Linked DNA regions of Coturnix japonica. The protein of the gene in region 1 purifies or fractionates together with the protein of each later gene. This does not show direct contact. Links are inferred from orthologs where the notes say so. Each region holds a gene or a part of one and is shown on either strand. Other genes may lie near its edges.

Region 1 (3,549 bases):
AAAAATGAGGAAAGGAGAGAAAGAAATCAAATACGGAAACAATAACACTGTTTCAAATGAACCAAAAACCAAAAGAGTTTCTATGAGAGGATTACATGTTCTCTCTTGACTTTACAGAGCAGGACACTGAACTCTCCACGAGTATCAGGACAAAGTGCTGCTTGTAAGTATTTTGAACTGCACAAATTTCACAAAACTTCCTTTTACCTGAAAGGTAGCTGAAGTGATCTGCAAGCCCTCCTGCATACTTTGCTGCAGCTGGTTTTGTATAGTGATTTTCTTCTCCTTTGTAACAGATGCAATAGGAAAGCTCCGAATCACCGTCTGCTCTCCCACTGAGAACCAAAGAATTGTAATATTTATGGATACTTGTTTGATCACAGAATCAGCTCTGTTTAGGTCACAATATATTCTGAGCAGACAATAATTATAACATACAAAGCAATGGGAAAATAACTGCATATAATTAATTTAACAGAAAATGCTTGAAAAGTTGATAAATCCCCAAGTATTATCTATAACCTGAAGCATTTACTTTTTCTGCTTCCTTTCTGTTTGGAAAAATATTCTCTGAGTTTTTTGTGCATTGAAAATACACCCCAAAAATATAGTTTGGAAAGCAGTCAAGAAACACTTACAAACATAATTAATGTTCACATTACATTAAGCACCTTATAAACAATGAAAGTTTTACACCGTCTTCTTTACAAACAACTATAAACTTTGAAAGATAAATCTATATTTTTGACAATTTAATTTGCTTAGAAATGGCAGATGTCAAGAGATGAAAAACTGCCACCTAAAACATATAAAAAGCAATGCTTAATTTATTAATAATAATTTTAAGGACATTACTAACTTATGTTTTTGTTTGTTTGTTTTTTTCATTTTACACACTTCCAAGCAGTTGAAAAAAAACCATCAAATGAAAAGAAGTAGTAGAAGTCACAAATCACAGACAGTTCATATGCTGTCTTATCTGAAGAAATCAGATTAGGCTAAATGCAAAATGAAAATAAAGTTCTGTCATATCTAGAGTAAAAACCTATAACAAAAGACCATCCCAATATGATGACCATGAAAAATTACTCTCAGAGGTAGATGCACCTTGATGCTGATATTTACATAGATGGACAGGTCAGCTCGAAGTTCTATTACTGTTGAGTTTTTCTTACCCAGCTGATCATGAGGAGTGCCTTTAAATATAATTCTGTAGGTAGTAAGGAACAAAGCTCCTTCAGCAGGAAGGATGTGAGGACCTCCAAGGAGTCCTCCTGTAGCTTCTTCTCTGCCATCAGGATCAAGTAGCACACGGAGACCTTCACAAACAAATTCTTCTCCTGGCAGTAAAGCTGGTCGTAGAATTTTGGGCTGATGAAAGTAAAATAGTGTAAGTATGATAAGGGTACCAGTGTTGTACCTCAGCCTAATTATATTTGGTGTAGAAAGATTCAAAACAAAATTGTTATGAGAGTAATTCCAAAGAAGGGAGATGGAGTTTGGACTCAACTAAGAAAAATGGGTCTCAAAAAACAGCGGGTATGCAACAGCTTGTTTATGATCAAAAATTTGGCTCTAATAGCTTTCTAAGTTCATATTTCATGATACCAAAGCCAAGCACTTTATTTATCACTTGTGGAATTTTTCTTACAATGTTCTGATGTTTCCTTCTAACATTATGAAGTGGAAAATAAAAGAAAAAAAAAAAAGATGACTAAACTTCATGATTCTAGTACGTGTAAAGAATACAAACATGTTTCATAATGCTTGCCTTCTGTATTGGTGGAAGCCTTCTACTCTCACGATGGACAGCCTCCAAAGTCTCTATGTGCATTGCCACAATGCCTGAAAATCAGTAATATCATAAATGAAGTCTGGCATAACATGAAAGAGAAAGTTGCAATCTAATTGGAAAGCTGATATTCCAAAATTCTTAAATTTAACCATCAAGAAAATAGTTAGTTGAAATTCAACATCAATTAAAGTCTACAAAAAGATCTGATCTTTATGTCCACAGAAACTGACTGCAACTAAAATGTGTATTTCTTTCATCAGAAAAAAAAACCCGAAAAATGAAAGATTATGAAGTCACATTTTCACCACAATTCTTACCTGGTATCATGCAATGAAGACCCTTGATGTGATCCTGTGTAACTCCACTCTCTGTGCAAACCTTATCAATAAATCTGGTGATGAAGCGCACAACTGCATTTGCAACATCATTGTTCTCAGAGTCCTCAAATCCACTTTCAGTGTCATAACTCTCTGCAACACTGCCTGCAATACTATGGACATTAAAAAAAAAAAATTCTTAAATTTCCTTAAGTGGCAGTAATTTAGTCTAGATAAAGTTCTACCATTTGAGAGGAATCATGTTAGATTTCCACTCCCCTTAATTAATTATCTAGAAATAGTAATCTTGAAGAGAAGATACTGAAATAAACTTGTATTCAGAGTAAGTCCTGAAAATTAGTATTTTCCCCAAAAGATTGACCTATCATGGCAGTGTACCCACCTGTTTGTGACAATACTGTTGCTTCCACTCTCCCAGTCACCAGTAGCTGATGCTCTCAATAACTTGTTCTTACTTGTATCTAGTGGTACTAACAGGTAGACCATGAGGTTAGCGAAATGTATTGCCTGACTGAAAACTGTACTTTCCTCATTCTGGACGAGCTCCTGTTGAGTTTGTTTATTAAGAGTTGGCCACAATCGCAACTGCTCCGCAGCCAGATCCATTGCTGTCTTATCGTGGTCTGCACCTACAGAATTTTTCTCCTAAAAGACATACAAATATACACACTAAGCTATGACTCAAAAACAGTGTTTAGTCAAAACAATGCTAGTCAAAGCTTTTTAAATTAAGTTGTTTACTTAAATTCTTCCATTATTTAAATTACATATTTATTTAAAAAGAAAAAGCAAGTAGTAACATGTAGTAGGGTTTAAGTAGAGTATAATTACAGCAACTTGAAGAACTGAAGGTAGCTTAATGAAATGCACAACTAGCAGAGCATGATGTGAACATTTCTAACTCAATAACATCATCTCTTTCTACATTTTTTAATGCTACATGATCTCTTAGGTTTCTTTAGAGTAGTTTAATGATTTCAATATAACTACTCTCCTTAATTTTTCTACTTAGCTCAAGTAACAATAAACATTAATGAGATGCAGCTGATTACTTGATGCATTTGATATTCTCCAAATTTTGGGGATGTTCAGGTAAGGCAAGCTTTTATAAGAACAGTTTCCAGATCTACTGAAACATTCATGCCTTTGCATGTTGGAGAGCAGATTACAGTGCAGCCTGACAGAACTAGAATTTAAAAGTCTGGCAGTTGATACAGATGACATAACGCTTGGTGTTAAATTATTAAAGAACACAATACTCTACAAATGTTTTTTCTTCATACCAGGTGAAGTTCAGCTACTTTAACAGTCAAACACATGAGCGAGTTTAAGAAAAAAGTTTTAAAGAAGCAGACAATGCCCATCAGCAGACAGCCGGCTAGGGTTTGGTAACAATCTAACACTAGACACAAAAAT
Region 2 (4,194 bases), on another chromosome or scaffold:
ACGGATATGAAGCACTTCTATGGCAAAGAAGCTGTTGCATTGCATAGAAACATGGCCTGAGAGATCATAAAAACCATCAACGAAGTAAAGAAGAACGCTTGACACACCAAGATGTCACACAGCACAAAGGACAAACAGGCAGGAGGCCGTTTTACTACTTGCCACAGGTAACCTTACCCGAATATCAGGCCTCCTGTACACCTGTTAGTTAAAATATAACATGTTATCCAACAAAATGCACAGCTTTGATTCATTAAAGGTATTACAGCATTTGTCAGATTTTCAAGAGAACTCTACTTCCAAGCATGTTCATTACAGCTGAACTTAAAAGCAGAACAAAACAACCCTATGTACATATAGCAGCTCCTACTTGCAGAATTAATCTGCTGTTAAAGTATTCTAGCCACTTCCATTTAGTGCTGAAACAAATGCCACATTCTTTTGAAAAAAATTACTTATTTTACTTATTATTTTAGTAAATCACTCTTTTATTCAATGCTACTGTGACAAGGGAATAGCAAGCCCAGTAATTCTCTGAGGTAAAAATAAGAAGCCTGTGGTAACAATGATGAAATACAACCCCCAGATCTTCTGGATTCTAATGGCAAAACACAGACGGCTGCAGCTCTTCACTGGAATCACACAGAATCAAAGAATAGCCCGGGTTGGAAGGAACCTCAAGGGTCACAAATCTCCACCCCCTACCGCCCCCCCACCACAGGCAGAGCCACCAACATTTAACAGTAGACCAGGCTGCTCAGAGCCCCATCCAACCCGGCCTTCAACACCCCCAGGGATGGGGCATCCACAGCCTCTCTGGGCAGCCTGTGACAGCACCTCACTGCTCTCACATTCAACTCATTTCTGAAGGCAGTCATTATTTTTTGTTCCTTTGTTTCTAAGAAAGAGAGATAAACGCACCTAACTAGGCCTCAAAAGACTTAGTCCTCTTAAGTAATAACCAAGGTGAATATGCAACAGAGAATGAAGCTACTCAGAATAGAAAGGCAGTAAGGAGTGCCTTACAACAAAGGCAGAGGAATACCATGTAACTCAAGAGATAAACTGAGCACTGAGCTGACACACCTGCATTTTATCTGTACATTTCATTGTCACTACTCTAACTATGGAGGAAAACACAGATCACATTCAAAAGATTCCTATGCACAAATGAGACGCTTCTAGTTGTTAAATACTCTGAGATCACTGAAGTACTTACCAGCTGACACTCAAAGCAGCAAGGTCTTTCCTGACTGCTCACTCTTATCCAACACAAATGAACACACTGCTCAGGATACTTACCCGGTAGTCTCTGGACACACCTTCCGAAGGGACAGACCCAGAGATCTGACTGGAAATGGTAGCAGCTATCAGCTGTTTGCACCATTCAACATGCGACCCTGTAGGGCTACAGAAACAGAATACTTAATGTCGTTTAACGATCAATATCATACAATCAAAAAGGACAGTACAGTGGAAAGGCAATACAGGAGTGGAACAGCAAAAGGACTAGGGCAGATAGAAGGGAAAAGTGCTCACCCATCTCCAAAGACCTCAGCTCACAGGAAGAGCTACAGGGGAAGGATCTCTAACCGGAGATCCCTACCCAGTGGCAGTGAGCCCTTAAATGAGGTCTAAGGGAGGTGCAGCCAGGCTCCAGTTGGTCACCCAGCAGAACTGCCTTCCCCTGTGCTCCCAGGGCTGACCCAGTCCTTTCCCTAGGTGCTCAATCAGTGGTTCAGGCCATGATTCAACAGTTACCATACGCATTCAAAATATATATTGAGAATAACACGGCACAGCGGTACAAAACAAGGCCATAAGTGAGTGTTAACACTATACAAATCAGGTTTCTCTGGGGGCAGAACACAATTATTTCAATGTACAAAGGAGGTAAAAGAATTTTACTGGATCTTCACAGAGATGTAGAGCTGTCAGTGTGCCAAATGCATGCTTATGGTCACAGAATCACAGAATTACCCGGGTTGGAAGGGACCTCAAGGATCATGTAGTTCCAACCCCCCTGCCTGGCAGGGCCACCAAACATACACCTTTACTAGATCAGGTTGCCCAGGGCCCCGTCCAACCTGGCCTTGAACACCTCCAAGGACGGGGCATCCACAACCTCCCTGGGCAAACTAATAGTCCTCGGAGCTGCTCTGGGTTAAGGCTTTTTCAGCAGAGCCCTCTGCCTGCCCCCAGCACCTGCCCACCCACCGAGCCGTGCAGCCCGAGGTGAAACACTCGTGTTTGCGCCTCCGAGAAGCAGCCAACAGAACAGCCGGCTGCAACAGGAAAACCGCCTCAGGAGAGATAAGAAGCTCCGTAGGTTCCCCATAACCCCAGCCAAAATCCTGCAGGCAGCCCCAGCCTTACCGCACGGATGACGCTAATCGCGAGAAGCACACGACCGCAGGCAGGAAACTTTGACAGAGGAAAATCCGCCGTTTGTTAAAGCGGCGGGACAAAAATAAAGGCGCAGATTTGAAGCACCGGCTGAGCCCCGCTCCCACACGGCCGCCCCGGCTGCAGGAGGGCCCGGAGGCCTCAGCCATATGCGGAGGGCAGCGCAGTGCAGTGCAGCGCAGCGCAGGCCGCCGTGCCGGAGCCCAGCGGCGCATAGCGGAGCCGTGCCGTCCCGCTCACCTGTCCAGCGTCTCGCTGCTGGCCTGCCGCGAACCGGCCCCCGCAGCCGCTCCCGCCGCCGTCCTGGCGGCCCTCCGGCTCACAACGCCGCTCTCCGCCGCCGGCCCGGCCGCCGCCGCCCGCTCCATGTTTCCAGCCGCCGGCGGGACGCCCCGCGCCGCCACGATGGCGGCCTCCCGCCCGGCACGGCCCGGCCCTGCCGCCTCAGCCCGGGACCCGGCGGCGGCCCAGAGCTGTCACCTGGCGGCCGGCCTTACCCACAGGCCTCCGCGGCGCCGGGAGGGGCGGCGCCGGGTGGGAGCGGGGCAGGCCCGGCCCGAGGGAAGCGGCGGAAGGAGCAGAATGATTGTAAAGAGAAATCTAGAAACCTTTATTTCTTTATTCCCATCCACGCACATACAGAGCACACGGAGACCGGGCTCCCCTCCCGCCCCGCTTCAGAGCGGCTCTCATCGCCCGGCGCCCCACGGTGCTGCTGCAATAGGCCCAGGGCTCAAGTGTGACACCGTACAAACCGAGCTCCAACATACTTCCAAAGGAGGCAGTGTGAGAGGCTTCCGTAGGTAACACTCCTAACGGTGATGCTGGGATGGATAAGGCATGCAGCAAAGGAAGAAAGCAGTCTGCAGTAACTTCCCAGTACAGAACAGGGTCCGTGGAAGGAAGGATACAAGAGAAATAAAACAATAACACAGTAACAGAGCTCAGGCCAGTGTTTCACAAAGGACAGCACGGAGCTGTAGCTGCTGCTGGCTACAGCCCAGCTCTCCCTCTCCCAAAGCTGGCAGTCATTGCCCATCACTTCCTTATTCACCACCTCAGGAACTTCCTGGCTTGGACCTGGGGAGGCTCACATCACAATGCCAAATGACAGCCCAAATACTCATCTGGATGGAAAGGAGCTTCCTATGAACACTGATCCAAACCAGCAATATGAAGAATGGAATCTAAGTAATGAACTGAGCGCATAAAGATCTTTCCATTATGTTACATTTCCCCACACACAACAGGTTATCGTGTAGTGTAGAATTATACCTTCTGAACTTCCCCACACCGCTCAGAGATGTCACCGATGTATTCAACTCAAATACAGAAACATTAAATATTCTAATAAAATTAGCTTTATATATACGTATCTATATACATATAGAAACTACAAGTAAAAGGCAAAATATACCAGAATATGCATAGTTCTCAAAAGTGTATCTCAGCCAAGTATCTTCCTTCATCTGAAATAAATGCATCTTGTTTACCTCAACGAGCCAAGCTTTGGGATCACGGCATTTCTTGTTGGTTTGGAAACCACAGTGAGAAATACTGAAGGGAGAATGAAATTTAAAGGACAAAGAAATAAGTTGTGTGCATTTTAGAGCACACGCGCTGTATGCTCTGAGCTTCCCTGAACATAAAGTAGTGCAACTCCGTGTCTGCGCTGAAGCAAATGGAGAGGCAGCACATTTTAATTCCTTTGAAAGAAAAAACACTGCTCCTAAAAAATATCCCTCTAAACTTTGACTGACTCTGTGGAATTATAGCTTTAAACTTAGT
Region 3 (4,250 bases), on another chromosome or scaffold:
GCAACAACTCTCAGAAATCCTGCTGCACGCATAGAAGAAATCAAAAGCAAGAAGTGCTCTCAAAGTCCAGGAAGAAAAAGACAGCTACTCGCATTTCACTGAATGCCAGAACTGGCAAAAACCCTTCCTTTTCAAACTCTAACTTCAATGACTCATCACAAAACAACTCCATCAGCAAATCACACACATCTGGTAGCAATGTGGTGCTAGCGAGCCCTCCTCAGCCAACAGCTTACAGATCCAACTCCTTCCAGCATCACTCTCATCTGTGGGGAAAGAATTCCTTCAACATAGCCTTAAATCAGAGCAGGTATTGACAGGACCTTATTTGAGATGAACGGAGTTCATACCTCGTGGAGCTATTGCTTCAACAGACCTCGCTGCACTGATTTACACAGAGCTTATGTTTTCTGAGTTACCCCTGCAAACGCTAAGGACAAGGAGCGTGATTGTTTTCATATGCTTCAGCATGAAGCACAGCGCACAGGATTCACTGCGCCCGCAGACCTCTACGGAGCATAACTGCCAGCAGAGAGGTGGTAACAAGCAACCAGAAAGTGGGAACATCAAACATCGCTACAGTCACGCTGGCAGGAAACATCTGCCCACTGCCTTATCTCTGTCTGTCATTTTAGACTGAGGTTGAAAAATCACCGACATCTCCTGCAGCAATTTCCTTCCTGTACAATCACATCCACGCTTCTGCACAGGCAGTACAAATTCACCTTCAGTGGACCTAACAGAGAGACTCCTGGCCATTCTACTTGTCTGTTGTTCAGACTGAGCTTTAATATGTTTTTCAAACGTTTTTTATGGAAGCACACAGAGATTTGTTCATTTGGAGACTAAGACATGGAATCACAACACAAACAAAATGCCTTATCACCTTTAATGTCACCTACAATTTGATATCACCTTTTAATTTAATTAATTTCACAGAGAGTCTTTCCAAACTATTACTTAGCACAGTGAAAAGGTATTTATCAGTCCCCCAGAAGCCCCAGACCATCACTCAGGTCTACTGAAACATCAAAGCAACCTCCACTATCAGACGTCACCAACATCCCATTTGCACAACCAAATGACAAACATTCTAACACGTGTGTTTTTTAAGGTCCTTATTCACGTGAGCAACCTTTCCAATGGTAAACTCTACCAGCTGTGCCTTACCAAGGGCTCAGAACTCAAAGCTGTCCTACCTTACAGACCACAATAAGAAAGGGATGAAAATAAATATATTGTATGTTGAATGTAAAATACATTCAACCATACAAATATGTTTCAGGGTATTTGCATCGAGATGTTGGAGCAGAGACTTGAAATTCTGAAGGTTATCAGATAAGCTTCTTAATACCCCAAGAAAACTGTTCAAGTTAAGGCCTTTTCAGGACTTGGAGGACAGTCCTGTGCATGCTCAGCAGAGACAGATTTACCACCTCCATCTCCCAGTGCTTCCATCTGTACAGGGCATGCTGCTGAGTAAGGTTCTTCCAAGGTAAGCTGTGTTTCCATGACTGCAGGTCCCAGTTTCCTGTACAGTGACTGACCTTCAGATGGGTCCAAGCTGCCCCAGCTGATGCAGAGAGTGGACGAGAATTATACTGGGGAAGTGAGGAAAAAGAGAAACGGCATCTGGCAGGTAAAGCACACTATGGAAACAGATACAGAAAACAGAAGAGCTTGATGAAGCAGAGTGAAATGGTCACAGAGGACATGAGAAGGATGCGCTATCGATGCAGAGTGGGCACTGCCTGCCTGGGGGTCCTGCTGGGTGGCACAGCAGAGCAGAAGTCAATGTCACCCTGGGATGAAGGCACAGGGGAAGCACCAGGAGATGCAGGGAAAGGTCCGCCTCCTCAACTCAGTGCTCATTGATGTGCTTCTGGGATCTGCATACAGTTTCTATCTCCCTAAAGGCACTGGAGGGGAGCTCAGGAGAGACCACTGAGAGGGTGGGGGCTGGACCACCTCCCCCATAAGGATGGACTGGGTTTGGTCAGCCTGGAGCAGGAAATACTTCAGAAGGACCCACAGGAAGCCCCAGAGGCTACACAGAAGGTATCAAAGGGATGGAGGACGTGCAGTCGCTATCCTTGCACGTTTCCAGTATGACCTGGCCTCCGAGCCATGCCAGCAGGACTGAGAGATCCTTATGGCCATTCAACCTGGGCACAGAGGGCAGCCAGAACGTGGCAGGACCCCTCCAGCCTCCGGGGCATCGTCCGTCCTCCCTGTGCCCCACCCTCACAGCCTCGCAAGATGTGCTTCTGAGTCACGGCATCCACACCTCTCCCACACCCTGCGAGACGCAGGAAGCCTCGCAGAGGTAATTTCCTCTCGGAAATCACCCACGCAGCATTAAAATGTCATTAAGAGTAAAATAAAAAAATAAAAAATCAGGCTCTCCTAAGGCTGTCGGGGGACAAAACGACACGGATTCAACAAACCCCACGACCTTCGCTCCTGTTAATAAGACGGCACAGGGCTCAGCCGCCCCGAGCAGCATTCAGCACTGATGGAGAACGGCGGCACCGATGTTCTCCCCCCGCCCCGCCACGGCTCCGTGCAGCGGGACGGCCCTTCAGGCCCAGCCCTGAGGAGCTGGAGCTGCCCGCGGGGGCCGTTACCTGGACAGGGAATCGCCGCTGGGCGGCCGCGCTGCCACCGCCCGCCCGGCGCCGAGGCTCTCGCAGCTGGAGCTCTCCTCCATGCCGGGCTGCGGGGCGGCCCCGGGACGGGCGGCCGTCAGCCGAGAGCGGGGATGGAGGCGGCCATGCCGGCCCGGCGTGCTGAGCGGGGAGGGCGGGCCGAGGCGGGGCGATACCGAGCGCTGCCGCTCCCTTTGCCGCAGCCTGCCCGCCTCTCAGCGACCGCAGCCCGGTGAGGTCGGTGAGGGATAGCGGTTACGGGCGTCACCGAGAGCCGCCGTGGTGTCAGGGTCAGCGCTGTTTAAGGTCTTCGCCAAAGACGCTGACAGTGGGGTCTGCACCCTTAGCAAGTTTACTGATGATGCTCCAGAGAGATGAGATGTCATCCAAGGAGACCTCGACAGGATCCAGCAGTGGGTCCAGGTGAACCTCATAGGGATCACAGAATCACAGAATCACAGAATCACGGAATCACAGAATCACAGAATGACCCGAGTTGGAAGGGACCTCAAGGATCATGTAGTTCCAACCCCCCCTGCCTGGCAGGGCCACCAAACATACACATTTACTAGATCAGGTTGCCCAGGGCCCCGTCCAACCTGGTCTTGAACACCTCCAAGGACAGGGCATCCACAACCTCCTTGGGCCTAACCACTCTCCTAGTGAAGAACTTCCCCCCTAAGGGATCAACAAAGCCGAGTGTAAGGCCTGCAACTGGGCTTTGGCAAGCAAGGGGTATAAGGATTGAGCACAGCCCTGCTGAAAAGGACTTTGGGGTACTGACTGATGGCAAGCTGTGTATGAGCCAGCAATGCACCCTTACAGCCCAGAGAACCAGCCGTATCCTAGGCTGCATCCAAAGCAGTGTGGCCATCAGGGTGAGGGAGGTGATCCTGCCCCTCTGCTCTGTGCTGTGAGGCCTCATATTGGAGCAGTTTGATGAGCAAGAGAAGAGCTCTTAACATTATTTACAAAGACTCAGGAGGAACTGCAGCTGATGCTTCCCTCTCACAGTGTCTTTTGAACACATTAGCTGTTTTGACAAAGGTTCTATGAGGCAGACAAGAAGCCAAAGCACTGTTAGCAAGCAGGAGGGTTTCAGTAAAGCCTGCTAGTCAGCAGTCTGTTGGTAGAGGCAAGAGAACACCCAGTGTCACAAATATGACTCCCAGGGGACATCCATGCTTGAAACAGTAACTCAAAACGTCATAAATCCTCTACAAATCTGAATGTTCTATGGATGTAAAATGGTTACTCATCACCCATTTGCTCTCCAAAGAGTAAGTCAGTTGATGTACCTCCTCCTGCTGTTTCCCAGTTTGCTCCTGTCACTGGATGTAAGTCCAAAGCACTTCGAGTCACTTGCAAACTGGTGAGGGCAAGCAGGATGTTGAAGCCGTATTGCAGCAGCCCCGTCTGAGACAGCATTAAGCTGCTGTGAAATTCCCTCCCCTGCTCTTCCCTTTAGTGTCTTTCAGCTGCTGTTGAGCAAGCTCGATGTGGGATGGTTTGAAGCTGGTTTAAACTTGAAAACACAGCTTTGTCAAAGCAATTTTTTTCCCCGCTGTTTTGGTTTTCTTTTTTAACTTCAGAAAAAGTCCC

What was found.
Region 2: the proteins of SBF2 (region 1) and MTMR1 purify together in Homo sapiens (affinity purification with mass spectrometry; 3 studies listed by BioGRID and IntAct, with this or other methods). This does not show direct contact. The link is inferred for Coturnix japonica from reciprocal best matches to the Homo sapiens genes SBF2 and MTMR1.
Region 3: the proteins of SBF2 (region 1) and MTMR2 purify together in Homo sapiens (affinity purification with mass spectrometry; 3 studies listed by BioGRID and IntAct, with this or other methods). This does not show direct contact. The link is inferred for Coturnix japonica from reciprocal best matches to the Homo sapiens genes SBF2 and MTMR2.

What each region holds. Positions count from the first base shown.
Region 1 is NC_029520.1:13,379,434-13,382,982, reverse strand, and holds part of SBF2 (myotubularin-related protein 13), read right to left. Parts: intron 2,779-3,549; coding exon 2,516-2,778; intron 2,286-2,515; coding exon 2,113-2,285; intron 1,846-2,112; coding exon 1,772-1,845; intron 1,372-1,771; coding exon 1,176-1,371; intron 336-1,175; coding exon 208-335; intron 1-207. UniProt on the Homo sapiens protein: Guanine nucleotide exchange factor (GEF) which activates RAB21 and possibly RAB28. Promotes the exchange of GDP to GTP, converting inactive GDP-bound Rab proteins into their active GTP-bound form.
Region 2 is NC_029519.1:16,435,045-16,439,238, forward strand, and holds the start of MTMR1 (myotubularin-related protein 1), read right to left. Parts: upstream 2,841-4,194; 5' UTR 2,775-2,840; coding exon 2,647-2,774; intron 1,409-2,646; coding exon 1,303-1,408; intron 202-1,302; coding exon 178-201; intron 1-177. UniProt on the Homo sapiens protein: Lipid phosphatase that specifically dephosphorylates the D-3 position of phosphatidylinositol 3-phosphate, generating phosphatidylinositol. Could also dephosphorylate phosphatidylinositol 3,5-bisphosphate to produce phosphatidylinositol 5-phosphate.
Region 3 is NC_029516.1:165,634,597-165,638,846, reverse strand, and holds the start of MTMR2 (myotubularin-related protein 2), read right to left. Parts: upstream 2,811-4,250; 5' UTR 2,711-2,810; coding exon 2,628-2,710; intron 1-2,627. UniProt on the Homo sapiens protein: Lipid phosphatase that specifically dephosphorylates the D-3 position of phosphatidylinositol 3-phosphate and phosphatidylinositol 3,5-bisphosphate, generating phosphatidylinositol and phosphatidylinositol 5-phosphate.